Linked DNA regions of Drosophila melanogaster. The protein of the gene in region 4 interacts with the protein of the main gene of each other region in a pairwise test. Each region holds a gene or a part of one and is shown on either strand. Other genes may lie near its edges. The genes, in order: Tsp74F, dmGlut, CG31600 and CG15083.

Region 1 (8,997 bases), on a different chromosome or scaffold from region 4:
ATAAATTAAAACTTTTTTCGAAAAGTAACTAATCGCCATTGCATTTCCAGGGCATGAACGATGTCAGTTTTCATGGCTCGAATCAGATCCTTACACCGAATATAGATGCTTTGGCCTACAATGGTATCCTGTTGAATAAGCATTATGTTCCGAACCTATGCACACCATCCAGAGCTACTCTGCTCACTGGAAAATATCCCATACACACAGGTAATATACGTTTTACCAACGAAAAATCATTTAATTGGCTTACATCCGAATATTTTCAGGCATGCAGCACTTTGTGATTATCACCGATGAGCCGTGGGGCCTTCCTCAGCGAGAACGTCTTATGCCCGAAATTTTCCGGGATGCGGGCTACTCGACCCATTTGGTGGGCAAGTGGCACTTGGGCTTCTGGCGCAAGGATCTCACGCCAACAATGCGTGGATTCGACCATCACTTTGGCTACTACAATGGCTACATTGATTACTACGACCATCAGGTGCGAATGCTCGATAGGAACTACTCGGCTGGACTGGATTTCCGGCGGGATCTGGAGCCGTGCCCCGAAGCGAATGGCACTTACGCCACCGAAGCCTTTACTTCGGAAGCAAAAAGGATAATTGAGCAACACGACAAGAGCAAGCCGTTGTTCATGGTGCTCAGTCATCTGGCGGTGCATACGGGCAACGAGGATAGTCCGATGCAGGCTCCAGAGGAGGAAGTGGCCAAATTTCCCCACATCAGGGATCCCAAGCGACGCACTTACGCTGGCGAGTTAACACAACGCGTACATATATTGTAAATCAAATTAATATTTGTAATCTTGTTACTACTTTTTACCACAGGTATGATTTCCAGTCTGGACAAAAGCGTGGCTCAGACAATTGGTGCTTTGAAGGATAATGGCATGCTGAATAACAGCATTATTCTGCTCTACTCAGACAACGGAGCACCCACGATAGGCATCCATTCCAATGCGGGTTCTAACTATCCCTATCGAGGAGTAAGTAATCCAGGAATATCATAAAAGCAATGAAACTAGAATATTTATTCACCTTATTTTACATTCAGCAAAAGGAATCGCCGTGGGAGGGTGGCATTCGATCGGCTGGTGCACTGTGGAGTCCGCTGCTTAAGGAGCGAGGATATGTGTCCAACCAGGCGATACATGCCGTAGACTGGCTGCCCACACTGGCAGGAGCTGCCGGCGTATCCTTGCCGCAGGATCTTCCGTTGGATGGGATTAATTTGTGGCCTATGCTGAGTGGCAACGAGGAACCGAAACCAAGAACAATGATTCATGTACTCGATGAGGTTTTCGGTTACTCATCGTACATGAGGGATACTCTTAAGTATGTAAACGGGAGCAGCTTTAAAGGACGATACGATCAGTGGTTGGGTGAACTGGAAACTAACGAAGACGATCCCCTGGGTGAGAGCTACGAACAACATGTCTTGGCATCGGATGTTCAAAGCCTACTAGGAAATCGGGGATTAACTAAGGATCGCATCCGACAGATGCGCAGTGAAGCCACCGAAACGTGTCCCCCTATTGAAGGACAAAATCCTCTGGAATCTCATTTCAAATGTGAACCACTGAAGGCTCCCTGCTTTTTCGATCTGGCCAAAGATCCCTGCGAGCGATACAACCTAGCCCAAATGTATCCACTCCAACTGCAGCAACTTGCCGATGAGTTGGAACAAATTCGGAAGACTGCGATTCCCAGCGCCCGAGTTCCGCATTCTGATTCAAGAGCTAACCCGACTTTCCACAACGGAAACTGGGAGTGGTGGAATAATACGGATACGCAATCAGGTTCCGGCACCTTCTCCATCAATTTATGGCTTGCGATGGGTAGTATTATAGGCTTAGTATACAGAAATCTGTTGTAGCTGTAAGTTCTTAGTAGAATAATTTTTAATAAAAGTTAATTAAAGAAAATACTTTTTTATTCAAATCTTTAAAGTCGCTTGAGTGCGAACTTATTTTCAGTTAAATAACATAAAAGTTGTTATATTATCTGATGATAATTCACTTTGTAAACACCTTCAGGTCACAGCGTGATCCATACTTTCCCTATTTTCCCGCTTCAAAAATGTGACTTAAGACAAAAAAAACCTAAAAATATGCAACAATATTGCATGTAGATTAAAGCTTCGATCAAAAACAGTTTAATACTTTAAACCGTTTTTTAAATACAAATTTTTACGTAACATGGACATATTTCATGGACCAGATCATTTTAAATATTTATCCTTTTTCGTTTTTTTTTTATACTCATATCACAACATATCGTTTAATGATAATTGGATTAAAAATAAAAAATATTAATATATATAAACATTTCCGAAGTATTTGGTTTTAACTAATTTTTATTGAAAACAACAATGGACAGACATCTAAATTCTCTATTAAGTATTGAAAAGCTCACTTAAAACTAGCAATTGTAATGGGTTGTTGATAACGGTGGCTTAAGAGGAAATTTACAAAACTTCACACAAATAATACAAATTTATGCAACAGATAATAACAATAGAATCCCTACTAAGTTCAATACTCACTAGTTATGCGTATCTAAACACGTATATACATACAATACAATACATAATACAAGCGGACAGTTGATCTGTGCAGATCTAACATTAGCATACACTCAGATAATACTCTTAATTTAACTCCAGCGAATTATGTTTAAAAATGTGTTTCTTCTGGACTGTGGACCTTGGTATCTGATTTTCCTGCGTGACCATGGGATTCCCCTCCTCGTTGGCGCTATTCGATCATATTGAATAGTAGACAGGAGAATATCATGCCAAAGATCTAAAAATAAACCAAATTCCAATTAATTATATATTATATAATAATTTTGCTACCGAAGAAAGGCGTTCACTTACCATCAGTATGGCCACCGCTATGGATGTACCTCCAATAACCGCCGCGTGATCCCTGATGAAGTTGGTCGTCACATAGAGGCATCCCTGGTTGTACAGATTCGTAATGGTCGGGAAGATTGTGCACTCCTTACGCTGTCCACCGAAAAGCTCCTGGCAACAGGACTCAGGCACTGGTCCGTACCTATTCCAGTCGTGCCACGTATCCACTCCGCAGCACTGTAGTCGCTCCTGGGTCAAATCCCAGGCCTGGGTGATCTCCCTCCTGCTTCCGTATAGTGCCATCGTGGAACGCATTTCCTATGGGATATTGGTAAGGGTTAATGTGCCACCCACGTGTTGTTATCGATGGATTTGCCTCACCTGCCGCATGGTCTGCTGAACTCGTTCGCGGAACACGTAACCCAAGACACCGCCAATTAGCATGGTCACGAAAACTAGGGCCACTATTATGAAATACTGCAAAGGGAAAACGAGTGGTTAATTTTTTAGCTAAATGGTGTTTGCATAATAGTAAAGAAGAGACTGACAACATTTAGAAGATTAAATCAAATAGATCATTTCTTTAGATGGTATCTTTGTAAATATGCAAATCCAGATATGATTACTCCAAAAAGGACAAAGTTAATTATTTAATAAAATGAAATTTTTGTTTTTATTGTTTGTTGTTTACTTACTGTTAGGAGGAGGCATTTGACTTCTTTTCCGGCACCAACACAACCCAAAAAGGACACCAGACAAATGATAATCGATGTAACCAGCAGGACGTAGACAGCACCCGAGAAAAGATTTGTACCGAGCAACTCATTGACGAAACTCCGATCCACCAGAGTCCACAGGGTGAGACAAAACACAATCGCTCCACCCACCTGGAAAATACATATATTTTGGTATTATTTATTTCTCTTAAATTGTTTTTTAATTCAAGCGACTCCTGGATACTCACGAATATCACAAAGTTGGCTATGAAAAGACTGTACTTGACGAACTGCCCGCAGCAGTCCATTCGCGAACTGAAGCCCATATCGTCTTCCTTTGAAAGGATAATACATTTCAATTAACCAATTCAATGGGATAAAAAGATTTCACATTGTTTACTTTTGTCTACAGGTGAAGAGCCCCCAGAGGATATTGATGCGAGGAGAATTATGCAGGGAATTTGGGGTAGGATGAGATGCAGAGGTTCTTGATGGCGATACAACTCTATAATCCAAAGACAGATAAAAATAATTTCACACTATGCTTTAATTAAGTTAAAGTTCTTAGAGATCATTCAATTTCAACAGGTCCTTAGCGATAACCAAGTTAATCATAACTCATCATCCCGATTTCAAATTAGCTATTTTTGGCCTACTCTCTATTGCAATGTGATGTAATCTCAAGAATGTACTTTTTAACGAGTTTCTTTCGCGTAAGATTCACTCCAACATATGGGCTGCCTATCAATGGTGTTCGGCTTGGCGAGTGGTGCGCATGCGCATGCGCATGCGCAGCTGTGGTTTCGGCCGAACGTTTCGCTCTTTCTAAGCCGGGTCCGAACCGCGAAGCGACCGAAGTACACTTAACCATGACCCACTTTATGGAACTGCGACTGAGCAGCGAAGCTGCCAACGCTATGTGCCTAGACAAGCGTTCATTATCGGCGGTGGCTGCCAACGTCTTGTGGATTTTGTCAGTTACGGCTCTAAAGACTCGCGTTTTTTTTTTTTTTTTTGGTTACTTACATCGCATTAGGCCCACTTGAAGGGTTCGCTGCGCGGCGATTCCGAGACGAATTCCCCCCGTTGAAGTTGGAGCGATCAAAACAAATAAATCAAAGTAATAGCCTGCCCGAAAATTTGTCAGCTAATTGTAGTGGTTTAACTACGAGTGCCGTCCCAGCTCTGAATCATCTTGGCGCAGTGCGATGTTCTAAATGCTAATTAAAAGTAATTGCAGGCTGAGCAGTCGGGTACCCCTTCACCCCACTAGCTGGTAAACGACATCTCATTTCGAGCATTATTCTCCAAATTCAAATATGTTAAGCCGCAGTCGAGTTCGCCAGGTAATTGGCGGGGCTATTAAAAAAATGTTCTCACACTATCTGAATATTCACTATATTTCATTCGACGTTATCATGTTAAGCGAATCCGAATCGTGCCTGAGATGACAGTAAGTCATCCGAAAGTCGCCATTAATGATGACGGGGCGTTGGCGGCGGGGCGAATCACTATATCTGCCGCTTGTAAGCTGAGACCAATTAAGTTTATGGTAATTGTTCAGCTGTACGTGCTACACATGGTAATAGATCACTTAAAGCTCGGATTCCAAGTCCTGTCACTCATGAAAAACTTAGAAAATCAGACTTTTTAAGTACTATCTACTAAACTCTGAGCTCACTCTTTTATGCTCCTTTCATACCCTGTTATCTATCTGTAATCATAGGAATAATAGCTTTACTAGGTCATTTATGTTTAAAACTCGTATGTAATCTTTATTTGTAGGTGATGTTAGCTTAAAAGTTAGTGAGCAGAATCGGTCGAGGCTATAAATATGAAATATGTACTCCTTGTTTATACTCGAAGCTTGAAAATATAGCAGTGAAAATAGGAAAGTGGTCGCATTTGAAGGACCTCTGTATGAAATTTATGATTAATTAAAACAAATGAAATATTATCTAATAAGCAAATTCACTTACAAGTTTGCCGTCCCGTAGCACAAACGAAGTTTTCGTTAGGTAACCAATTTTGGCGGTTTTCTTTCTCAGCTTTGTGTATGTAAATTGCCTTCAATTTGTTGTTTTGCAAAAACACAAAGCAAAACAAAAGAAACGGCTACTATTTTTAGTTGCACTTGAATGCACAGAAACTTTGGGAGTGGCTATAAAAAAAGAAGGAAATTATTTTAACCCTTTCAATTAACATTTTTGTGGTAAGAAGTAGAAGAGTTTTTAATTTCACTTTTATTTATAAACAACTTTTTGATGAAGACGCATTCATTCATTTTTTCGGTCGATTTTATTAACTTGTTTAAATTTTTGGTTCATTCTTCATTCAGATCACTTCATTCAGATCAAAAGAGATCGCAAAGTTTACATACGCATATAGCAATTTATGCAATATTCGTTAATATTTGCTCTCGAATTTTTATGAAACTTTTTTAATACAGGTTTCTTGCATTTGTTTTAAGCGTCACTCGCAGTTGATAATTGTTATTGAGTTTTTATTCGATTGCTGTTGCTGTTATTGTCAATTGCAGTTCTCCCATGGCAAACAACTTTTTTTTTGCCGCCTTGCTTTTAACATTTGCTTTTCAAGTTACGTCACGCTTGCCAAGGCAGCATTATCCTTAGCGGAGTTATCACTGTACTGTCGGGATATTTCGTGGGGATAAAACTATACGATTCACTTGATGGACCTAAGTCTCGCCTTACAGGGATTGAGTGGATCCGGGGAGCTATGATACTATGGTTTTATATGTGGGACAGGGACGACTCTACCGCCCGAGAGCTCGCTTGGAACTGGTTGTGGGAACAGTCGGGGCGATCGGTTTTTTATTAGTTTCGCTCACAAAGAGCTTCGTTGTTGGGCTTTTTCTGGTCTCGGTCTCTCGACATTACAACAACTTCGACTTGAGCCCCTGTTTTCGAAGGCTTAGCACTGCAGGTGCGAGAGAGATGGGAGTCTCTACTCGCTTACAAACCGCAAATACTTCTCTGAATGTTTTCGTGCTTCTCTCTTATTTATTCATCTATTTTTCGGCTTCTTTTACCCACACTTCCCTTTGCGGAGTCGGCATGTGAAAATGCGTTGAGCAAACAAAATATGATCCGTCGTCCACAGCCAGCACCTTTGTTTCATTTCGGGCAATTGCAAAATATAAATATTGATAAGCAAACGAAATTTGATATTTGTTTTAGTTCTCGGTCTGCACATGGCAATGTCCGCATAATTGATTTTGGAGGCAAATCTATCCGAATTGGTTACCGTTTTGTTATAACAGTTTAAGTTTAAATACTTTTTGAACAAGGATTATTTGTAATGATTGTTTTCTTTCTTCAGTTGGATCATTTGCATCTATTTGCAACCATATTTATATTCAATATACGAGTGTTGATCAGACAACTTGATAAAGCCAAGTTTGTCAGTCCGTTCCTTTCTTACGCATTCTAGAATCATAGTTTTAAAGCTTGGAACTTTTCTAAAAATCTTCTTTTTATTGCTCGTAGTATGTGAATTTGTCTTCTGTATCATGTATGTATAAATATCGAAATTTAATTGAAAATATTAGAAAAGAAATCAAACATTGGCGAGGCTATCTTTCTTTCTTGATTTCAAGGGCTTAGTGTTCCAAGAGAGCACAAGGAAAATATGCTTATTATCCGTGTTTCATGTTACTTTTGCTGGTCGAACTCAATTGCTGTGCCGAAGGACAACCTTTGGCAATTAACAGCTTAATTTTCTTGTTAGTCGAACAAATAGTTTTGGCTGAGTTGAGTAATTTTTTAAGCAGTTTCCAAGCTAAGGTCAGAAAGTTGGCTGCCGATAGACGAATAGCTCACCCTCCCTACTTACACTCCACAGCACGGTTGAAAAGCGCTCAAATTGTTGGCTTGTTTAGCACTTTTATGGCCGTGTTAACAACAACCACCCGCCATGTCCCCGTAATCACCGACCAATGTGTTAGTTGCATGGCGAAAATAAAAATAAATCATAAAAAAAAGAAAAACAATTACTCTGCCTGTTGATTTTGCATCTTATAAACTCGCTGTGGGAACCTTTTGCGTTTTATAGATGCCATAAAATCCATTTCCACACACTCGTCCCACAGGCGCCTCATGATAAAATATTGCTCAGAAATCGAAGTTTGCGACTAGTGCTCAGTTATTCTTGCTCAAGTGGCCAAGAATCATTAATATTATGGGGAATTCTTAATTTTAAGCCAGTCAATTTCGCCTATGAACCTATACTTACTGAGATCCGATTAGTGTGAGCGAGTTGAAAGCCTCGTTGAGCTCGGCGAAGGTGACAAGCGTCAGAAGCGTTAAATTGTGGCACTTTAACTGATTGGAATGAGTCAAAAATTGGGAAGGCAAGCAAATGACTACTGGTAGTGGAAGATATAATTAAAATGTTAACCGAACTGCGCATACAACCGAGTTAACACAGCAACATGCATCATACATTATCAGATGCAAACTAAAGTGAAACATTGAAAAAACAACAAATGCAACATTTTTGATTCTCACATGACTTATCATAGCTGCTATAACTCTACTTACGCCTTCGCCACTTACTGATCTTCGTATAAAAGCTATCTCAATCAATCAAAAATTTGCATATTGCATTAATAAATTAATGAATCTATGGGAATGTGTAGTGCTCGTGAATAATGCATTGCGAAAGTTGAAAGGTTATCAATAGTTAATTATATAGAATTTACTTTAGCTTAGAGGAGTATAAAGGAACTTTTTTACACAAAATTCTATATATAAATAAACAACATTTTCACGCAAAGTGACCTTCCGAAATTCGAACTTGAGGGCTGGCATTTATTTTGGTGGACAACCGCAAAACGCAACTGAATCCCAGATCTTGACCAACTCAAGTCATGTAGTTTTTCCCAAGCTCTACACAAGTCCAAACAAACTCCAAGTGCATTCTGTGGCCTCGGGCCAAAGTCATTAAATGGCTAATCAGTTGGAACAATTGTATTCCCTTTTGGCCACCGCTTAGAGCATGTTCCACCTCCTCCCACGAAAACACACAGATATTCGGCAAACAAATAGCCAAAATATACATCTGAGTTTAGTCATGTGCCCGCTAATTGGTCGGTGTCAGCTCCAGTGATTGTACGTGGCGATGTGTCATCCAAATGCTGAATATAATGTCTACCGATCAGGTCAGGCATTTCCAACCAATATGGCAATCTTATGAATCCTAAGTACATAAATGATATGAATATGAATCATTTCAACGTATGTATATTATGTGTCTTGTCCAGAAAACGGTTTGACGAAAGTTCTGAGAATGTTTTCGTTTTTCAATTTAATTAATTTCTGAATATTTACATGAGACTCTTCAGATAGAACATCACGGAATGCGATTTTCCTTTTGTTATTACTCTGTTAACTTCCTATCC
Region 2 (10,440 bases), on a different chromosome or scaffold from region 4:
TGAAAGAGACTGATCGATCTTCCTGATAGGCTGGAAATTCTAGAAATGCTAGAAAATTCTGGACTATATCAAGGCAAAGATGAAACATTGAAAACTAAGTTTAGTTTCGAAGCTTATCTGTAAAATAGATCGTTTATTAGTGGCTGTTTTGGTATGCTTTTATTTGCTTACTTTATAAGATAGTATAGTTTAATGGAACATACTTTCTTTAGATTTACATTTAAGAGAGGTGGGTATCATATTACTTGTAGAGTGTATACTTTGTGGATTCATATTTGTAGTTCGTCACATTCCATTGAACGACTTTCGGGCCGCTTCAATTCATTTGCGGCATAGTATTATACAAATAACGCAAAATATTTGGTATGCGAGTTAAATATTGAGTGCTATTATTGTTCGTCTGCCGCGAAGTCTGCCCGTCCGTCCAACCGTCCAACCGTCCAACCGTCCAACTGTCCATCTGTCCATCTGTCCAAATTACCAGTTCAAGCTGGTTAAGTTTTCGGTCACGGACGTTTGGAGCCAGTTTTGGCTAGATTCTAGTATCCGTCCGTCGAGCGAACATGTATGTATTATCATTTCCATATCGTCGGATATATTCAGAATATTTCGATAATTTATGTGGACAAACATTTCAATTTCAATTGCAGAACAGCATCATTTTGCGCAGCATGGTTCGCTGACTTAATGAACTCAACACGAGACGATCGACGATGGAGCTTGAAGATCATCACAGCTCAGTGGTGGTCATATCGGATATCATGGATGTTGGATGTTCGGTCGTTTCAAGTGGATCGGATGCGATGTGCGTGCGGCTAATTGATGGGGTGCACATCAATTGAAGTTTGTCACTTTTCATTTGGGCCCAAGACGCGGAATATTTCCAGTCCAAGTCGCTGTCAGCAGATTGGAATTCTCTGCCAACTCCGGTTATCTGCGCCCAGATGTCACCTGGATGATCTCGTGTCTGGTCTGGACAAAGTGTGCCATCGATAAGGCCGACAAAGTTTAACTGATAAACATGGTCTACATACATACATACTTACATACTCTTTGGGCTTCAAATGGAGAGCACTCGGCAAAGGATTATATTTCCGGCGATAGTGATTGAGATAATGCATGTGCCAAATCTTAACGGACGCACAATAATCCCCGCCATAAGTACGATTCATTGAGACACCAATTGAGCACTTTCCAAGTAAAACCGAAACAGATCGCATAACATTCCACGAATAATACGTTTAAGTATCCCCTTGAAATGTATATACATATATCGGCAGATATGAATATAAGCAAAGTACAGAATGTATATTAATAACCCAGCTGAGCTGCATTGAACCGCATCTGTAACTGGTTAACTCGGCAGTCAATTTTTGAGTATGCAGATACAGATGTATCCACATTTAGTAGTAGTATAGCAACGTTTCGATTCTTAATTCGATCTGAAATCGAAACTGAGGCTGTAATGAATACTGAATGAACGTACAATAGAAGTGTCAGGGGCGATTTGAGGTGGTTCACCCTATAGCGACTATAAACGATAGCGATTCCCCATTCTCGCGACCCCCAGCCATCCACCGCCCATCTCCCACCGCCCACCACCCTGTTTTTCAGTTAATTGCATTGCATAAAGTCGCAACCCGCCTCTAACCGGTAAACGCTGCTGACTAACTAACTAACCAACTAACACAGCCGATACTACAACTAAACTAATTCTGATGATGGAGCCGCAACAAGTTGTCGCTCTCCGTCGAATACCCTACAACGCAGACTGTCGGGCAGCTTGGCTGCTGCAGTGCGTCTTGAAGATGGAACTTGTTGCTATCGCCACTCGCGCGGACATCAATGTCCCATTTGATACATGATGTATAGTATATATGGCTCGGTCGGCTGGTTGGATGGGTGGTGAACAAAGAAATGTGTTGGTGCTCTGACATACTTATGGGATTTAAAGTACATATATATATAGGCATATAGTTTTATATCCAGACGAGATGTGTATAAAAAAATGTAAATGTTCTTGAAATTGTATTTTTAAAAAAGTGTGCGCAAACTTAGAATAGTTTATTGCCGCACGCTTTATTGTGGTCCTATTGTTTTGACAAACCTTAATCGCGGTTGTATCTTGTTATAAGTATTATTTATCAATAGGATAAAGTTAGTAATACTAACTTGTTACAGTTGCAACAAAAATATATCTATATTAAGATAACAGATCCTAACTTGCATTATTTTTATATATAAAGCATATATATGTAATTTGTACCAAAGGTAGGGTATACTTGGAGGGAAAATTCTTGGTAAGCAGCCAGTTGACCATGATTTCATCGGAGAAATGGGCTGTAGACGCACAATTCGTTGGGTGCAGCTACCTTTCTGTCTGGGCCATTCTGTTGGCCAAAGTTTCGGTTTCGTGCATTCCGGTTCTGCGAGTTCTAAACCGAAGCTTGGCATCTGTATACATATACGTAGCAAGGTAGCAAGGTGGGTTTTTTTTTCGTTTTTTTCATTTAGCGATCCAATCGTTTATAGAGCGACATAAAGTGAGCGCGTGCATGCGAGGAAAACCGCTGAGGTATTCGGCGCACAATCGATTGCCCGCTGATACCAACTGAAATCGAAATCGGGCTTCAAATGGCCAAATGAACCAAAGTTCCATTCCGCGCGGCCAATAGTTAATAGTGGTGCGCACTAATAGTTGTTGCATTTGGTCAATTGATCTACTACACGCATGCGGTGGCCCGATGGCTGATTGAATGCGATTGGATCGCCGATCGACCCGGCCAAGATAGCGACCGCGTTTATGAGGTGCTACAATGCGTGCACAGAGAGAAAAGCAGTCAACTTACCAACACTTGAATATTTTCAAAAAGCAAATTCAATCATAGTTAAGGGTTCTTAGAGGTGTGGGTACTGTGGTTTGGAAGATAGCTTTTTTTTAACACAGATTAGATTAATAATTGAAGTTTAATTATAGCAAGTAGTTTTAGCGTAAATGGTGGTGAGCAAAATTGATAGGAAATAAGCAGATTCAAATATTAATCCATTCAGTTAATTGTATTTTGAGCTTAATTGTATTTGGAGCATGGTTGGAATAGTGCACTATAGAGATTCAGTTGTATTTTTGTTAAGTTACCGTTGTATAACAAAATAATAGTTAATTAAATAAATAAAATTTAATTAAAAATTTGGTATATGTCTAACACGTATTGTGAGAGTGGTTAATATTTCGTTGTACCAAGTACCATTGAGCAATAAACAAACTAAATATTGTATTGCTGCACGTATTTTCTCGCAGTGCTCAATTGTGGCAGCATGTACAGCAAGTGTTACGAGTCAACTCCCCTTGTCAATATAGCGATACACGATCGTTGGCCGGCATCCAATAAAAACAACAACAATAACGAAAAGCGAAAAATGAAAATAAAATCAAATAATATGAAAAAAAAAACTCCCTCTGCCGCAGAGACGCCGACTGCGCAGCAGCAGCAGCAGAGCGGCGCTTATCTGCTCTCATATAAATATAAACTAAAGTCGGCGGGAATAATTTCTCATTTGTAATTTGGCTGGCGGCGTGCGCGGTTCGGTTTGGAATTCGAGTTCGAATTCGGTTAGCACTTCGAATCCGATTTGGAGACAAGTTCGAGATCACTGGCCTAACAGTAATCATCCACATTCTCCTTCTCCGCTGCATCTGCGCTTTCCGAATAGAATATTATTGCAAAACGAAAACAGAGACTGCTGTGTAGCCGAAATAGCGGTAAAAAGCGTAGAGTCGTGTGCGCGTTAGTTCATATTAAGGATCCGCCGTTGTCCTTCAAACCCGTGTAACCGTGGCGAAGGAACTGACCAGCTTGTTGACGCAGCCGCCGCCAATTAGTACCGAGATGACGCAACAGCCACAATGGGGCATAAGCCTATCGAGGTGTAAGTGTGCCACATCCTTCGATCCATGGGATATCACAAACACAACCATCAACCACTATCACCACCAACATCATCATATCGTCATCATCATCATCATGAAATGGCCATAAGGAAGTGCTGCGTGCGCCGGTGTATTCTGAATGCGGATTGTGCGGATCGTTGAACCTGCGATCGTTCGGGGGGCATTTTCGAGTGGTAGTGCTCGCTTAAAGTTAACCGACATTGACCGACAGCAATATAAAACAAAAAAATAAAATAAAAAGGAAGAAGAAGAAGAAGAAACGTATATAAAATCCCATATGTATTGTGCATAAATGAAAACAATGACAAAACGCCTCTGCCACTTCCGATTTGTTTCGAATTGTGTGCATTTTGTTTGTGTTTCGCTGCTTGGTGGTCTCTTCAAATTGAAATTCCCGGCATGCGTTCACATAATTGGTAAATATTTTGCATACGATTTGCATGTGAATTGCTGCTTAACTGGCCAGCGATAAAGAACAGGGTATCATATGTTCGATTCTAAAACACCACGATCGAAGGGCTAACGGTTATTACGGACTTTGTCAACCAATTATGGGACCTGCCCAAATATATACCTATACCTATACCGATTTCCTCGCCCCATCTCGCTCTGTTCTTTTTTGGGCAAGGTCAATGCAATAAAGAATTCTTTCGACCGATTGGGCAACCATTTCAGCTGTAAGAGTTTTACGAAAATAAAATATTAAATATACTTGGAATGCGAGTGATAAAAATCACGTAAGCCTATTATGATTTTCGTATCATTTTAGACTAAACTAAACCCCAACCAGAGTAATTATAAAAACTAATTAGCTTTTGAGCTGTACTAGTTCTAGCTAACTAGCTCTGTTATATAGCTTAGTATTCTGCTTGTTTTTCCAATGAATTATATGTTGTGCTTTAAATTTCAACCAACAAAGGCTTTTTGCCACAAGTTCTAGCCCAATGAACTAACAAAATTTACAATTTGGCCATAAATCACCCTATTGGACATTAGTTTTGAGCTACGGCAATCAGCACGACTAATCGCCTCGTTTATGGCCCCCGTCCCAGTTACTCAAAGTCTCATTATCATATGGAAGGGTCTGGCCTGGGTGTACTATCTGGTGTATATGTTCTTATGCGGCAATCGGACCTCGCTGACAGCGACCCTCTGCCCCCCAGGCCCATTGACATAATTTTCGCAAGACCGCGGAAATGCAAGCGAAAGAAATGAGGTTTATATTCATTCGGGGCTATCTCTTAGACATTCACGATTGCCGGACAAAGAGACGCAGGCCCAGTAATGTCAACGGATGGAATTGTTTTCGTTTTCTCATTAACGCAACGGATACGAACGACAATCGTTATTACTTAAAAAACCAAAAGTCATCTTCATCATAAGAAATTAACCATTAAGTAAGATTTAAGGAAGTAGAAATTTGAAATTAACTAAGATTTAGGGGAATTAGTTTTATGAGATGTTTTTTTTAAATTGTTATCAACATATTTAATATTGAAAATACCCACACTTAGCTTTATTTTAGGTATATTCTATATATAGTATCTGTGCAAATCGATTTCAACAAAAACTCCCATAATTGAAACTAGTTCAATTGCATTGTCTGGCTAATTAGAAAGTATTTCAATTGAAATAGTAATGATGTATAGGTCGCAGATAATTTATTCGTGGGATTGTGAAACCTATTTAAATAGGTAAAAGGTACTTTAAATGTAATCAGTTTCTCAATAAGTACTCAATAGAAAGGGCCAACTTTACAAGTTCGTTGCATTTGCAAGAAAAGAATTTTACGGAAAAGGTGTGACCGATTAAATCTAGTTAAAAGTGAGTCTCACCCCCGCCGCCTCCCACTCAGCTTTCATTTTCCACTCATATGCGCGAGATAAGGTCGCGTTAGCAAGCTCTGATTAAATCTTGAATAGCTTATCGCGGGTGGAGGTCCTTAGATGGAGTACGGTCATATATTAACGCCACCGATTGGATTGGATGGTCTGAAATTATTGGCATACTTGGCGGGCGGCGATATGATTAGCACCCATTTACATATACGGCGGCTTATCAACTTATCACTTGGCAATCATATTTTTTATTTCTTTATTTTATTTTTTTATTTGACACTCGTGGAGTGAGCGCGTATAAATGTTCGTGTCGAATTTGGTTAAGTAACCTGTCAAATATTGGCACATTGTTAATTTTGCCAGCTACGGTGGCTTAATGCAATTTGCGGCCAGCAAAAGATATATTGATGTTAATTTATAGGTAAAATAAACTTGTCAGCTGGTGACGTCGATGGGCTTTTTTTGCGAAACAGTTTCTCATAAACTAGGGGAGTTTCGAATGCCATTAAGAAGGCAAACACATGATTGTTTAACTTTTACTGGCGGCTGGCTTAAAAAAAAAACAAAACAAAACATATAAATATCTGACGTAGGTGGAGTCGTCGTGGTTAGGTGTCAACAAAAACAACAGAAGTCGTCGACTGCGGCGGGGGTGATCTAATAATATTGTCATGAATTGGATTCTGATTGTGTGTTTACCCAAGAAGCCAGGCTACTATTTGTTTTTTTACTCGCAATCCAGAGATTCAGATTGAAGTGATCTGCGTGCCGTTCTTGTTAGATCGTTTATTTCAATACGTTTGAAATGAGATTGGTCAATGTTAACTAAGCGTGCCAAAGAACATGATCAATTCAACCTTCGACATTCATAGGCGGCCATCTATTTTCGAGGCCCTATGAATTTATGCCCAAAATTACTTAATTGGCGCCGCCATTGGTTTATGATCATTGTTCTCGGTTAGCGATTTCGCATACTTCACATTGCACTCCAAATGTTTATCGCAGATCTAGCACACTCCGCCTTATCGGGCCGTAATTCCGCTTAACAATTTGATTGCGATACGATGGTCGTATAAACTACGTCCGTTGATCGCTGCCTGGTGATTGGTGATTGATATTGGGACACGAGTGCATAGCGCCGCTAATCTTTCGACCATGCTGCTCAACCCAAACTTAAGCACGAGCCATAAACCTCACGAGACAGGAAGTTCGTGAAAGAGCGGGTCTACAAAACTGGACAAATTCCTCAAATACCTTTGAATAACTAAATAAAAAATAAAATAACTTATAATGGCAGTCCATAAATAAGAGCATATAAATTATCTACTCTTGCGATCCCCCGCATATCAGCACATGATTTATTAAATATTTAATCAAACTAAGCACTTTATTGCCGCAAATTTATTTATTGAGTTTGATTGGAACAAGATTATTTGGTTGTTTTATGGCAGATCACTAGAAGATACTTTTGCAATCTGAGTTATGTAGGTTATATACCCTTGCTTACCTTTAAGATATTACATTTGATCATCTTTAAATCCATTCTAATGATTCATGGCTAGAGAAAGGGAGAAAATAGGGCTACAAATCGGAACAGGCCTAATATATTCTTTAATCTTTAAATGATCATATCGCCATGTCGCAGTTGTCTACGCATAATTTCTTTATCATTAAAATTATAAACTGGTTTCAAACTAAACGATCTGTCGTGAGCATTAAAAATTATATGTTGTTGTCATCATGATTATTTTAAGCGTTCATTAAATATCTGCGTGGCATATAATTTGTTTAAGCATTAAAACTTAAAATGTTCTGAAAGTGTTCTAGACAATCTCTATTACCTAGTTTGCAGCGTTTTTTTATATTATACTTAATTTACTACTCTTTTTTCAATCATTCGTATTGAAAAATGACTAAAATCGGCTTCAACAGTTCAGCTAATTGATATAGTGCCACAGCAATCAAGTGCAATTTGAAGTTTATCAGCGCAAATTGATTTGTACCCAATTGAGTCACCCGTCAAACTATTTATTCGCACGCTAACCGAATTAAATAAGTAAATTGCTTAAACAATATATATGTGAGACGCAAATCCGCTTGGCTCGTAAAATGTTTGACGCAGTGTTTGGTCAAATGTTGCCCAGCAGGTTAATTAATGTACACCAAGACACCCACTGACGTCAATTCCGATCGCTATCTTCTCGTCCATAGATTTCGTGATACCCCAGCGAGTGATCCTGGCCATCATGGGCTTCTTGGCCATCCTGAATGCCTACACGATGCGCGTCTGTCTATCACAGGCCATCACGGTGCTGGTGGTCAAGAAGAACTCAACGGATGACGATTCTGAGGCGATCTGCGAACCCGATGACATCGACGAGGGAACCAGTGTAAGTAGAGTCTAAGAGTAATATCAGAAGATAATACTTTAAACACAAAATCTTTCCAGGTTGGTGGCGATTTCGAATGGTCCGAGGAGCTGCAAGGTTTGATCCTGTCCTCATTCTACATCGGTTACATTGTCACCCACATTCCCGGCGGTCTGCTGGCCGAGAAGTTCGGTGGCAAATGGACCCTGGGCCTTGGCATTCTGTCCACCGCCGTGTTCACCATGCTAACGCCTTTGGCCATTAACAAGGGTGACTCCGACTGGCTGATTGTGACCCGAGTTCTGATGGGTCTGGGCGAGGGAACCACCTTCCCCGCTTTGAGTGTCCTCCTAGCTGCTTGGGTTCCGGCCAACGAACGTGGAAAGCTCGGTGCTCTGGTGCTGGGTGGCGGTCAAGTGGGTACTATCATGGGCAACCTGTTGTCTGGCGTGTTTATAGACGCCTATGGTTGGGAGTTTGTCTTCTACTTCTTCGGGGGTCTGGGTGTTGTCTGGTTTGCCATCTTTGTAAGTATAGGCTGAGCACTTAGCACATAGTCAAGACTCGTTATAATCCAAACTATTCTTGCTCGTAGATGTTCCTCTGCTACAGCGATCCCACGTCGCATCCCTTCATCAAGCCCAGCGAGCGCGAGTATCTGGTCAAGGAGATTGGAACCATTAGCCGCAACGAGGACCTGCCCCCCACTCCCTGGAAGGCCATCCTCACCAACCTGCCCATGTTTGCCCTGGTGGCCGCCCAGATTGGTCACGATTGGGGCTTCTACATCATGGTGACGGATCTGCCGAAGTACATGGCCGACGTTCTTCAGTTCTCGATCAAGGCCAACGGTCTTTACTCCTCGCTGCCCTACGTCATGATGTGGATCGTTTCCGTGGGCAGTGGCTTTGTGGCCGATTGGATGATCCGCCGTGGCGTGTTGAGCACCACAAACACCCGAAAGGTGATGACTGGTCTGGCTGCCTTCGGTCCGGCCATCTTCATGGTGGGCGCCTCCTACGCCGGCTGCGATCGTGTCCTCGTCGTGGTGCTCTTCACCATCTGCATGGGTCTGATGGGCGCCTACTATGCGGGCATGAAGCTGAGTCCCCTGGACATGAGTCCGAACTATGCCGGAACGCTCATGGCCATCACAAACGGAATTGGAGCAATCACCGGAGTGATCACGCCGTACCTGGTGGGCGTGATGACACCAAATGTGAGTATCATAAAGGTGATGTTTTGAAACTTTAGCTAATCTGGTTGTTCTCCTTTTACAGGCCTCGCTGCTGGAGTGGCGTCTTGTGTTCTGGGTGGCCTTTGGCGTGCTCTGCTTCACTGCCGTGATCTACTGCATTTGGGCATCCGGAGAGGTGCAGCCGTTCAATAACGCACCCATCCAGCCGCGCTCCGTCGACTTTGAGGCACAGGAGCGCAAGGTGGGTGGTGAAAAGACAAGTGGTCTGGAGCAGAGCTCGTAAGGTGGATCGCCAAAAAAAAGTGCCATACATATATGTATACATTGTAATCTAGTTAAAGTGCTGTCTACGCGGATTCTGGAATCCGTAATCTGGGATCCGAGTGGTTCCCAAAAGCAGTGTCATGCTGTATACGCAGTGGCTGTTGTTCAAATTGCTAGTTTTATAGTATTCCCGATCTGGCCGATCCCTGGCATCAGCGCCAACTAATTAATTTAAGCGAATTTACTTACACTCCCGAACGTCCGCAGTGCTACCATGTTTATCCCTTTTGTTAGCTAGGATAATCCTTAGCCTAATCCTAATCCTAAACTATACCCCTATGCCGCGCACGCAACGTACTCTCTTAATTATTATTTAGTATTTAAACAAACTGCGATTTCGCATTAAGGATTTCGTGTACCAGAGCTCGTATTGCCGTATTGTAAATCAAATGATGAAATAATTTGTACATTTTAAATTGTTGATCAATGTGTAAAGTAAAGCGTGTTTTTAGCTGTTCTGTTAAGACATTACTGTTTTTATGATGTTAGTCAAATAAAGTGTATAAAGCTAATTAAAACTATAAATCTAAAATCCAGTTTGTAAAAATGTATTCATGATATACTCATATAATAGGTATTAAATAGTCTAAAGGGGCATCTTCTAGTAGGCGTTCTGCGATTTGTCCAACTTCTATAAAACAAAGTTACCAAAATGCTGCCCGCTGTTGAGCAAAAGTTGAGCGATATATTTATATGTATGTATATGTATGCATAATTCAGCGATTTTACGTGGCATCCACTACAACCAGATGGTTACCCGTT
Region 3 (6,060 bases), on a different chromosome or scaffold from region 4:
AATACCATAAATCATATGTTATGGACTCATACCATTGTAAAAAAAACAAGCCCATACCAGGATTTTAGGTTCACCGTGATTGAAACTCTTCACTGGGTGTTTTGGGTGGTACTCGGTGTTTGGAGGTCGTCAGATATACTGTAGTGAACCAGTTCCACCAAATATCACTATTATTGACCTATCAGTCTAAAGGATATTACACCATTTGGAGACTGGCCAGTTTAGGTAGGTTTTAGCGAAGTTTCACATTGCCTTAATATGCCTTGGGCTAAGTACGGGAACCTTTCTGGGACTACTCGCAATTAAATTTCGATTAGGTAGTTATCACCGAATAGTAACGTCACTCAGCTCAGACTTTATCTCCCTAGGGGATGCAAAAGGATAGACTTTGGTACCACGGTTTTCGGCTTCCATTCATATTTAATGGCATTGGATACCATTTTGGCAGAATATTCAGGGGTTTTTTGAATGTCCTTGTATGTTTTTCCTTCCTTTCTTAGCTTAAAAATTAACATTATTTTCTCCTGGGAGCAGTGCTGTCCTCTACCCACTAAAATAATTTTTTTTAAATTATTGCCCCTTTAAATACGCGAATTAACTTAACCAAACTCACTTTTTTTTAGAAAATATTTATAATTTCGGGACTTTACGTTGGTCAAAACCAGACACTGCTATTCTTATGAACAGTCTAAAACTTGTGATTTTGCTCAATGTAATGTAAAATGTAAATAAAAAAAGGATAACATGAAAAACTAGCCGTGTAGTGCGTAATAAGTGTACGTGTAAAAAAGAGTCGAGTCCGAAAAGGGACTTGGAAGAATACCTTTGTATTACTCAGTTTCCTTCGCACTGCTATTTTTCTGAACACAGCTACATATATTTTTAATCAAGATCAATAGCCGAGTCGATTTGGCCATGTCCGTCAGTCCGTATAAATGTCGAGATCTCAGGAACTATTAAAACGAGAAGTTCGAGATTCAGCATAAAGATTGTAGAAACAAAGACGCAGCGCAAGATCGTTGACCCATGTTGCCACGCCCACTCTAGCGCCCAGAAACGGCATAAAAATGCCACGCCCAAACTTTTGAAAAATGTGTTTATATTTTTTCACGTTTTTATTAGTCACTTATTAATATTGAACAATATTTCGATTTCCGAATCGGTCATTTTATTTCCCAATATCTATCGATATCCCAGAAAAATGATGCACTTTCGCGTTCGTATACACACTAGCTGAGTAACTAGTATCTCACAGTCGGGGAACTCGGTATATCCGAGCATTATCTCTTGTTTTTAAAATATCTCTTTAGCGGGGTATTAAATAATAAAGAAAATTCAATTTGTTTTAAATTAATAGAAAGCACTGTTCATACATCTACCTTAGGTCACGCCTTCGTTCATGCATTTTCCACAATTGATTTCCTGATATTATCTATATACATTTTTAAACCAAAAAAGACAATAAATTATAATTTGGAAAAGCAAACCGGTACATTTTCAGACCAATAATAACGGTATGGAATTGTCAAAAATGTGTACGTTTTGCTTAATGTGAATTGTTTTTCCATTCCGAAAGTTTATTTTGCCTTCTAATACTCACTTCCGTTTCCGCTGCACAAGACCAAAGTGTGTTTCCGCTACCCTATTACCACTCCATTCGCCATTTGAAACTTTTTTCGTACTCATCGAACGAATTATAACAAAACCAATTTTCCATGACAAAAAGACAACAGGAAAAAACCAAATTACAAATCAGACAATTAAATACTCATACTCAATACTCGCAAAATGTTTGACATTTATTAATTAAAAATAGGATAAACTGTATATTAATTTTATTCAAATTGTCATCGGCAATAAAAGACAGCTTATTTCAATTTATTTCTTTGTTCCATTTCGATTTGTCATCTACATATTGTATGCAATACAGTGGCATAGATTAAAACAATACAAACATTACAAGAAACTGCATTTAGTACTCAAGAATGGTTACATGGTAGTGTATAGAGTAGTAGTATTTGGTTAGGGTTAATAAGGCTAATGTTTCAAAATGTGTTTTTAACTAAATCTATTAGTACCGCAAGCCCGTGTGTAATAACTCTTTTATGTTTCCTTTCGCCGATCAAAGAAATACATTTCTTCAAAAGCGTTGCAGCAAGAATAAGTAAAATTACCAGTTCCACAAAAATAGCCAATCTGAGCTGCAAATGACTTATATGTTGTATCGGCATAAAAATGTTTTTAACAAAGTCACTGCAACCTTGGGTGATAAGGTCGGGATGGTAGCAGTGGGTTGGAACCCCTTGTAGATAATCCATATAAGAACGGGGACCCTCCAGTCCACAGCATAAAACCTGTGAAAAGCAAAACCCTTGAAAGGGCAAATGAGCAAAGGCATAACACATACCGCATTTTCAATCGAAGGCCAATCTGTCTCGTTAAAATTGGAGTATGCCAGCCATTTAAGGTTTAAGCTATCCATGAATGTACTATAGCTCCTGTTCATGGCTTCTAGTTGTTTTGAAATTGTGAAGTAAGTCCAATGAAGGACGAGTATCTGCAGCGGTATAAGCTAATTTACAATTATCAACCTCACGTTTTTTTTTTGGTAAAGTCCTTACCCCGAGAACAAGCCAATCATCACGCAAATTGGCTAAGTATAGGCTGACCAAATTCAGGCAAATGGTAATGGAAACGGTACTTGTTAGAAAATTAAAACAGTTAAGCACATTAATGGTTATTTCAGCGCTTTTAAGTCGCAGAGTAAAGGGTATAATTACTCGAAATAACACAGCCAATACAAGCTAAGTGTAGAAAAGTTGTCAGTAAAAACTTGAAGACGGGCTGCTGATTAAATACTTACCCCAAATAAAATAGCAGTTAGCTTTTTTATCATGCCCTCTACCATTTTGAGAATTATTTTAATATACGTAGCTCAATTTTATTCTACGCAAATTGACAAAATATTCGAAGCTGGAAATAATGGCCTACCACATAAATTCAAATTTTTGTTTTCCCAATTATGTATGTATACGAAATCACGCAGGTTTTTCTATTTGTGTTTCAATTCCTTTTTTCTGGCAAAATTTCATTGTTGATTTATGGGATTTGCTATTTTTGACAGTTGTTTTTGCTACAACGAATGAGAGTGTGTGCGATAACTGTTTGTAGGTATAAACATGATTTTATAATCGGCTTTCTATATTAATTTTAATTTTATTTTCGGCATTTTATTATAATTACTCTTGATATATGTAAATGGTCATCGTTAGCAAAATTATCATTCCGTATATGGCTGTATTGTTGCTGCACTTGATGTCCACATGGATGTCCCTCAACTCGTTAGGAAATTTACTACGCACTTTTTGTTGTGGGTTTTCAGTTCGCCAATGGGCCATGCGAAAAAATATTTCTGTGGCTTTAAATATTTTAATTGTCGCTGTTGGCTCTGTTCTGTTATTTCATAATCGTATGCTCTTTGTTGTAAGTCAAAAAGGGTGTAGTTCGAAATGCACAATAAAAATTGTAATATTTTGGCAAAATATTTATAATTATTAATGCTAATTTCAACAAATCCAATGCATTTCTGGCATTCTATTTGGACGATGGCTAAATACTTTGGTGTTTTGTATCTGTTTGTGATATTTTAATTTTACTGTCGCATTTGATCATAAATTAAGCGATTAACAAATAAGGGGCACCGTGGGTTATGGGTGCTCTTTTGAATTCCCTCGATGTGGCAATGGATGGAAGGGGCCAGTAAAACTATATTGCTTTTGATAAATGCCGATGGTTAGGACTCAGAGTGCGCCGCATTGAGCGGTTTAGTACTTAGTACTCAAGTGATATTAGAATTCCTGGTAGATTAAAAAAAATAACAAAATAATTGAAATATGAAAATGTGTCAGAAATGTTTCATTTAATCATATCCAATCGCGTTTGCCATTCAAATAAATCTCAAAATATATAAAAACAAATTTTTTACATTACAGTGAAGTTTTTGATAAGCCATGTTCGATACAACTAAATACTTTCCGCGTTCAGTTGATTCCGAGCATCCGTCCCAGTCGGAGCACAATGAGTCCTTGTCACTGGATCATGTCGTCACCTACGATATGGTCCATAACCCGGAGGGAAGATCACCTGATCACAGTGTCATCGAAATGACATCGGAAGCTGACCGGCATATAGGACACGATGTCACTTCATCTCCCCAATTGATGATTATATTTGAAGAAGGCGACATCAACAGTGCACTGCACTTTATTATTGAGTCGGTTCATAATCCCTTTGCCTCGAATGCGGTGGCCATGGTTCTGGTTGAAGAGAAAATTCGCGGGGAGATCGTCGAGCGAATCCTGTCTAAGCTACATCCTCTTAGTAAGTTTGTGGCCGAACATCCTAGCTATCTGGCAGCACTGGAGAAATGCCACACCTCCAACTTTAACATAATAAGGGCCTGCATTTCGGAGGTTGCCCCACCAATGGCTTCACCCATTTTTGTGTGTGACTGTACGCACGATAAGCTGGGAAGTTACCCAACTGGAGTAGTAACATTTCACACATTCCGCAATAACCAGGAGGCCATTGCCATAAGTCAGTGCGAATCGTTGGCCTTCGCATCCGTCTCCATTTGGAACGAAACGCTAACTGGATGCTACGATCTCGTGGCGGCCCTCAGCTCGTCCTATTTTTTTCTAAACTGCGCCAACGTTGACTTGTCGCCAATTTTAAAGCCACACAAGGCCCAGAAAAATTACGTGGTAGTTGAAAACGGCTTTCACTTCGAAACCCTACGTATCTATGACAATTTCAAAGCCATTGTATTTCCCATTGGCGGACAAATATTGCCAGACATCGAGGATCACAAGGAGGAGCACGCAGCTATCTTCTTTTTGGAAGCTTAGTATTGGAATGACTTCCACGACTTCCCCTTTCATCCGATTTCGCAAAAGTGCTTGGCAGATTCAAAATTTAAAGTTATTTTGGGTGTTTTTATGGTTATTAACGTTCATGATGCGTGCCAATATACAATGTAAGTGCAGCTGTCAGCGGTAATAACAATATTTCTTTTCTTCCGGATATTGACTTTTTGGGCGTCTTAATGAACGCAGGTTTTTTGTATATAGGTTGCGAATTAATTCGACACAGCGTGACTAACTGTGTATTCGATTTTTTTAAATTTTATTGGGACATTGAGAAATGGTAAAATGTTGGTCTGTTATCTTTTCGCTTAAATATTGTTTTGTTTATTCGTGCCGAACACTGTAAGAATGTTTTCTAGCTCTGCAGCCGATACTTATATTCAACTTGGCAATCTGATACTGGGCATGACCGAATAAATTTACGATCGCACAGCATTCCGGAGTCACCACAAGCATCTGCCCCATAAAATCATTTTCTTTATGGGAGTATGATGAGCGTATGAGTGACGCCAAGTCGTCGCTTTTGGGCACTTAAGGTCTGAATCCAAAAATAAAGCCCGCTCGTCAGTGTAATTATCAGTTTTGTGTGTTTTTCTGCCTTGGAATTTATTCCCCATAAATCTCCCGCATGTATCTGGCCCAATAAGGGGGAAAGGCTTATCAGGTGCAGTCACACCCTCCTCTGGGCAGCTCATCCTTCCCAGGGCGTTGGGAAATTCATTATAAAATGCGGTTTGAATTATTTGTCAAAATGTCTGGTCCAGGACGCAGTGACATTGATGTTGACATTGACAGACAGACTGGGTCGAATGTCCCCGACAGACCAAGCCCAACTCACTCGCCCGATGTGACAAAATAAATGAAATTGTTAATGGCCAGTGAGTCACCGAGTTTATCGAGTTGGTAGCGTCATTATTGTCAGCTGCATCAGGACCTGTCCGACGGCCAATAAAGTCTTTTAAAATAGACATTTTATTGGTGAATCCATCCAGTGAAAACCCGAAATGGTCGATTGTCGCCATACAATTCAGCGAATCTAACATACCCTAATATTCCCAGAGCATCAGGTGACAAATTTAACATCAACATATTTAACATATACATATTTAATAGCCTAAAGGGGCAACAAATCAAG
Region 4 (6,466 bases):
TACCAGTACACCAGGAAGGCTTGGCGAAAGGATATGCTGGATCTACTGCTGGACAACGCCTTCTTCCAGATGCATCTCTCGTGCCTGCCCTTCTGGCGCATGATCATGGATAGCCTGATGACCTACGACAACACCACGTTCCGAGAGCTGATGACCCGCGTCTCCCTCTCGCAGGCGGGCAGTCTGAACATATTCACCTCCCGGGATCAGGAGTATGAGCAGCGGGCCATGTTGCTCAAGCGACTCGCCTTTGTTATCTATTGCAGCGAGTTTGACCAGCACAACAAGTACATGCCAGACATCCAGGGTAAGTTAACGAAATGTTCCTCCTTTGTTAGATGCTAAGCAATTAATAACAAACTTTACCCTTTTAGTATGTAAAAATATAATTACTATTTATAGCTTAGTACCATCTCTTTGGGGAATTAACTAACATCAGCACTAACATTTTCAATTCCCTTAGAACAATTGGCCAACAGTCTGCGGCTGGTTCCCATGGGTCCTTCCGTGCAAGCGGCCGTTTTCCTGTGCTTCCGTGTGCTGCTTCTTCGCATGTCACCCGACCACGTCACCTCGCTGTGGCCCATAATCATAGCGGAAATGGTACAGGTGTTTCTACAAATGGAACAAGAGCTCAAATCGGAGAGCGAAGAGAGGAAGTAAGTCGAACACGAATGAAAAAAAGTAGTCAAACTAATAGTATCATTATTGGCAGCCAACAACTGCGCCTGCCTTCTGGGATTGACGTGTCCTGGTCCGCTGCTTCTGGAGCTAGCAATGGTTACAATTCCCAAACACCGATGCAGCACTGGCGATCTGTGCAATTGGAGGCCTGCAAGCTGCTTGAATTGGGATGTGTGCTGCCCGCAACCAAACTGCCACATTTCCAGATGTATCGATGGGCCTTTGTGGGCACCGAGTTCGATGTTCACGAGGAGGAGGTGTGCCTGCCCAACGGAAGTCTAGAGAACCTGGCTACCTTGCCCAGTGCGCTGTATGTTCCGCATGTCAGACGTGTGGCCAGGCTAATGGACATGAAGTACACCAGTCAGTCACCGGTGAGTAATTCCCACTCTCATCGTATGCGTCATCTGGCTAACTAGTCCCTTTGGCTTTGTTCCAGATACTGCAACGCCCCAGCAATAGACACCTGATGTTGCACTTCCAGCAACTGCAGTCGCTGCAGGAGCTGTACGCTTTTTTCACCACGCTGGGCATCAGTTGCCCCCAGCCGCGTAACTTTGCCGATACGGAGAACGATGTGGCCAATTGCTTGAAGGAGATCGAAGAGGTATTGGCCAATGATTTTCTGGAAAAGCTGCCCAGCATAACCACGCCGAGATGAAAACCGGCTGTTGCCCAACGGCAGACGCAGTCGCAGATCCAAGCGAGTGGGTCACACTTCGAGCTCAAGCTGAACCTGAACCTAGGTATGGAGTCTGCCATGGAGTCGGGCAGTACTGGCCAGGCTGTGCGAATACTGGCGGCCGTGCAGGCTAAGCTAACTACCCAAAATGCCGAGACGAGCTTTACGCAGTCGCAAAACATCAATAACAGCAGCAACAATAAGATGACCAACTTTCCATTTTATGTCTAAGTAAGCAGATTGGAGCAGAAGACGATGCCGAGTATGATAGCTAGCTATATAGATAGAGAACTGTGTCGAGAGTATATAATTGTCCGTAGTGTGATCGATCGTTTTAAATGTTGAATGTTTAAGAACGCGGTAGCCCAATAGCCAATAGCACCCTGTATGTATATGTATGTAACCAATGTATTTAACTGTTGATAGTTGATCCCAAGTCGATGTGAGTAAGAGATGTGCGTTAACGACAAACTGCAATCAAATAAAAAACAAAGCATTTTATTGCAAACACTGAGATGAACGAACGGTGGGCTCTTCCCCGACAATTTATGTAGTGTAGAATGATAAGGACTAAACCACATTCATGGCGCGCGGTGTTTGTTTGCTGGCTTCGCTGTTTTTCAGCTGGAGGTAGAAGGAGTACACAATTCGTGCGCTGAAGAGGATCAATACTGAAAGTGTAGCGGAGAATATGTATGATCTGTACATTTTTGTTAACTCAATTTGATGTTCATAGCCGATACTTACGAAATGTGATGATGTAAACGAGCAGGGCACCGAAAACGTTGTTCATTCCGGTAGCCTCGCGATATCCTCCGTAGTGGAAGATAACCCCGAAGACGGCAAACGGAAAGGAGATGGCTTCAATGGCAGCGAAGATCAGCCAGACGAACACCAGAATTGGCTTTTCCTGCAATTCGGAAAGGTAGATTGGGTTTCGTTGACTCAATAAAACGGAATGGGTTGTATTTTATTTACCTTCAGGGTTCCTATCAATAAGCAAATATTGGCGACTACTACGATGGCAAATCCAATAAAGGTAAGAACTGCAAGGATTCAAGTGAATTTAAATAGAAATTATTGAACGTACATATTTCATTCATAAAAAAAGCCGTTACAATTAGTGGAAAGTAAACATAAACTTGGGCTTATAAGTGACTCAATGTATTCCAAGCAAAACGTTGCTGTGCTCTTATCTTTCTTCCCGTCTGAAATTTGAGAACACGACTGCTAAATGTATCTTCGTATATAATGAGTACATATTGATGCACTGATGCACTTCATGTACATGTGTACATATACATAAAGAACTAAAACATAAATTCTTCTTTTATATTTTAAACACATTTCATACATGAAATATGACAAACTTTTTAAAACAGCTTAGAATAAGGTTTATAGAACTTCTTTGAGACATGGACAAATGCAGGGCTTTAAGTGTTTTTATGACATATGGCGTTCAACTGTTAAAACCCAATAATCTTTTAAGTTTAATTCTGCGCCATGCACAGCCCAAGGAAATTATTTAATTTTCTTTTTTGTGCTGGAAAATTCAAGCCTGTGAGAAAATGGCATTTCGGGCCACCTAAAATGAATTGTCAGCTCGAATTTGTCGGCGATGTCGTCATCGATGGTGAGGTGTTGTATCCAAAATGGTTGTGAATTGGAACGCGTTTGTGTCGAATGGATTAGCTCATTCGTTTATTTCGCATGTGAACATCATGAATGTATTGTCTCTCTATGGAAATAGCGTCAGTCTGGGCAATCAGCTTCTGAAAATAAACAAATGCCACGCCTCTCGCATTTCTCCTACCGTTTGGAGCGAATATAACGTTGAAAGTCATGCTCAATAGCCAATAGATCGCGATTCCCAGGCACCAGCTCCGCAAATCGGTATTGCACGGGCCATTTTCCACCGTCAGATCGATTTTCATTTTGAAACTCTGTGGTTTACAGCGAATTTTCCAAATACAAATATGGCTAGTATGGCACTTAAACCGGTTTGGGAACACCTAGCGCACGGAAACACAACCGCACTGGGCAAGAATCAAATAATAAGTGTGGCGCAAATGCCGATGCCGCTCAGAAGAAACGGTTGCGTAAACTATGCAACACGAAAATACTTTTTTTTCGAGCGTGGAAAAACTACGTCTGATATGTTCTTAAAAAATATATGTGCACTCATTTACTATATGAATTTGTTTGCATATGTTTCGTCATTTAAGAGTGAAATGAATAAAATGGGGAATTGTCTTTAAAATAATAGAGAGATTTAATGCTGTATTATATATGTAATGTAGCTACTATTAGCACCTTGAAAAATATTATGAAAGTAAGCCGCTGCTGTGCAGTGTTAATGAATACATAAATAAATATTTTTTAACTATCATGCCAAATAATAAATGCATAAAAATATTTAAAATATAAAAATGTTATTAAAAGAATTTTAAACAATTAGCGTTAAAAAGTCACATTAAAAGCTGGTGAACAAGTCACAGTTTCGACACCAACTGCTTGAACCAGTCTGGCAACGCCGCTGTACCCAAAAGCTTTTAATTGTCAGCCAATTGCGACTTATCAAGCAATTGCAATTTTGCTGCGCCGGCGAACTGAAGTAAAATTGTCTTTATCTTCGCATTAGCACGAAATCAAGTGAATCCAGAATGCTGTCCAGGGTCTTCTGTATGCGCCTGAACACCTATGGTGTGGTCATTGGATGGCTGGGCGTGATTCTATCCTTCTTGGCCACGATCCTCTTGTCCTTGGCCCTCGGATTCGTCGATGAAATTGCGCAGCAGATCGCCAAGGGATCGGAAGATTCTAACAAGACGGCCACCGAGATTCGCAGTGGTAAGGGCTAACCATCGAGTGCACCCACAACCAATCGTATATTTTTTATTGTATTTCATTGTTCTTGCGGTTATTGCAGTGCTAATCATCGTTTTCAGTGTTTACCTGGCGCTCAAGGTGATTAATCTTCTGGCTTCGGCCATGTTGGTTGCAGGTACCGTTAAGGTAAGTCTAGTATCAATATGCAATCTGTACAATCGCGTATATATGTGTCTACTATAGTACATATCTAGAGTTAGACCTTTTTAAAAGCCCACTATTCTGTAAAAAAAACCGGCAAGTTTCTTTGCAAATACATATGTACATACACCATACTAACTAGAGATAGAGATGGTTCTAATAGCGTTTGCCTTTCAGGAACGCCATTTACTCCTGCTGCCCTGGCTGATCAACAATGGAGTGCTGCTTGTCTTTGGAATTATCACCAATATTGCAATGCTGGCCCAGATCATCGGAAATACATCTTTCCTGAGCGCTCTTCCAATCATTTTCGTGGATGTTGGCCTGCTCTGTAAGTGACTCACCACTTCATACATACATAAGCTCTATCTGGAAATGGGTATACACAATACACACTGGCCGTTGTTGCGAAATTGTGGATCCCCATTGCGCTTATCGCTCGACGGTCTGCGATCGTTCTATAATTGCGCTTGGGCACGATGCTTATTTTTCTCCATTCGCTCGTTTTCAGTGCTGACCTGGTATCTCTACTACGGCATCTACTCGCTCTTCAAGCAGATCCAGGCATCCCGTGAGATCCAGCGCCCGCTGATCCCACAGCCGACCCAGCAGACCAACTCCTATCCCAGCTACACCAAGATTTAAGCTCCAGTGTAGCTTCCCGTTTGGCCAGCTCTTATTTCATCATATCCCTTTTCGAATGTTTCCAATGGGGCTTCCCCGATAAACCCAATATTTTTCTAGCTAGTAGCACCAAAATTATATACTACGTTGTATTTCATGCATCAGAGAATGAAAATCTGTGTGTACATCATATATATTTACATTAACGCGATTGTGTCTATACGTATATCCAAACGAAATGGCCAATACAAGATTTTTCGATTGGCTGCAAAAAAAAAAATATATATTTTTTATATAAATAATCAAATGGAAAATTATTTAGGGGCTTGGTTTACGCTTCTTGTTGTAATGTTTGGAGATGCTACTATTATTTGTTTGTAATTCGAAAATGTTAATACATACCATTCCTTAAAACTTAACACACTGTGATAGGCTTTCAAACATATATTTCTACACACACAGAGGGCATAAATTAAATCGAATCTTGGGGCGGCATTCGTTGCAGCTACTTAGGTAACTATTGATGGGCCATTCTGCTGCTCCGGCGGTCTCACTGTCATTTGCCCAGACCCAGCCACATGTAGCTGGGATCAATGAACTGGGAGCCGCGGTATCCCTGCGGATTGCGCGACACCAGCGATCGGATCTTCTGGGAGGGCCTGTAGCTGCGCAGGGCCTGCAGGAGCTTCGATGTCTTCCGGTCGTGCTCCTGCTTCTGCTCGGAATCCTCCGGAGCGTCGGGCGGCACGGGCGGCAGGTGCAGTGGGTGCGGGTGTTTACCCTCCAGCATACGCGTCTCCGACTCACCCAGTTGCGATTGCTCCGCGAAGCGCAGGTTCGCTTCCAGGCGGTTGAAAAAGCCGCCCAGATTGGTCATGGCTCCTGGAATGTAGAACGAATGTCACTAGCAATGGGTTCATTGGTTAAGGATTAAATCCGCTTTAAATTAAATCAAAGAATCCAAATCCTATCCAATACTCCATTACTCACCAGCACTGATCGAGGGCATATATCGGAGTGAGTCCGGAACCTCCTTTCGTTTCCAGGGCAAGGTGTAGGCGTAGGGGTACGTAAGCGGTGGCTCCTCGTCGTCGGGTGGCCAGTTGGCGGGATCCCTCTTAGCCTTGACTTCCGCAAGTGGAGGAACCGGAGATTGCCACTTGTGCTGCACCTGCAGCTGCTTGCTGCGATGCTGGAGGTGCCACTGGCGACCGAACAGCGTAGGATACGGGTCGAGATAGCTATCTCCGAATTGGTTATCCATTTCCGTTTCACTGGTTTTCGGCGGGGCATTTCCGCCATCGAAAGGGTAAAAGTTGTCCAAGGTGCGTGACGTCATCGGCGCGACCGACTCCCTGCCCTCGCTTCCAGCGAAATCCCAGTCCGGATCCAACTTCCAGTTTCGGTCCCACTCCGGCGGAATTTGACGGTCACGAGCAGTTGTTG

The links.
Region 1: the proteins of CG15083 (region 4) and Tsp74F interact in a two-hybrid assay, tested with the Drosophila melanogaster proteins (one large-scale study listed by BioGRID).
Region 2: the proteins of CG15083 (region 4) and dmGlut interact in a two-hybrid assay, tested with the Drosophila melanogaster proteins (one large-scale study listed by BioGRID).
Region 3: the proteins of CG15083 (region 4) and CG31600 interact in a two-hybrid assay, tested with the Drosophila melanogaster proteins (one large-scale study listed by BioGRID).

The regions. Positions count from the first base shown.
Region 1 is NT_037436.4:17,889,477-17,898,473, forward strand, and holds Tsp74F (tetraspanin 74F), read right to left. Parts: upstream 6,387-8,997; 5' UTR 6,290-6,386; intron 5,737-6,289; 5' UTR 5,555-5,736; intron 4,081-5,554; exon of another isoform or gene 3,976-4,080; intron 3,911-3,975; 5' UTR 3,902-3,910; coding exon 3,824-3,901; intron 3,747-3,823; coding exon 3,555-3,746; intron 3,337-3,554; coding exon 3,241-3,336; intron 3,178-3,240; coding exon 2,881-3,177; intron 2,807-2,880; coding exon 2,759-2,806; 3' UTR 2,344-2,758; downstream 1-2,343. Other genes in the region: CG7402 (uncharacterized protein), read left to right, coding at 51-210, 270-755, 831-988, 1,057-1,878.
Region 2 is NT_033779.5:12,023,895-12,034,334, forward strand, and holds dmGlut (dietary and metabolic glutamate transporter), read left to right. Parts: upstream 1-3,543; 5' UTR 3,544-3,887; coding exon 3,888-3,927; intron 3,928-7,998; coding exon 7,999-8,177; intron 8,178-8,236; coding exon 8,237-8,683; intron 8,684-8,751; coding exon 8,752-9,375; intron 9,376-9,436; coding exon 9,437-9,637; 3' UTR 9,638-10,228; downstream 10,229-10,440. Other genes in the region: CG18788 (uncharacterized protein), read left to right, coding at 10,331-10,373.
Region 3 is NT_033779.5:21,912,395-21,918,454, forward strand, and holds CG31600 (uncharacterized protein), read right to left. Parts: upstream 2,965-6,060; 5' UTR 2,909-2,964; coding exon 2,864-2,908; intron 2,805-2,863; coding exon 2,622-2,804; intron 2,573-2,621; coding exon 2,408-2,572; intron 2,355-2,407; coding exon 2,046-2,354; 3' UTR 1,875-2,045; downstream 1-1,874. Other genes in the region: CG11634 (uncharacterized protein), read left to right, coding at 4,011-4,907.
Region 4 is NT_033778.4:18,832,226-18,838,691, reverse strand, and holds CG15083 (uncharacterized protein), read right to left. Parts: upstream 3,430-6,466; 5' UTR 3,301-3,429; coding exon 3,180-3,300; intron 2,413-3,179; coding exon 2,345-2,412; intron 2,277-2,344; coding exon 2,114-2,276; intron 2,038-2,113; coding exon 1,937-2,037; 3' UTR 1,850-1,936; downstream 1-1,849. Other genes in the region: CG15099 (uncharacterized protein), read left to right, coding at 1-307, 464-659, 716-1,058, 1,124-1,345; CG15098 (uncharacterized protein), read left to right, coding at 4,030-4,216, 4,296-4,381, 4,574-4,727, 4,908-5,041; CG15082 (uncharacterized protein), read right to left, coding at 5,577-5,902, 6,011-6,466.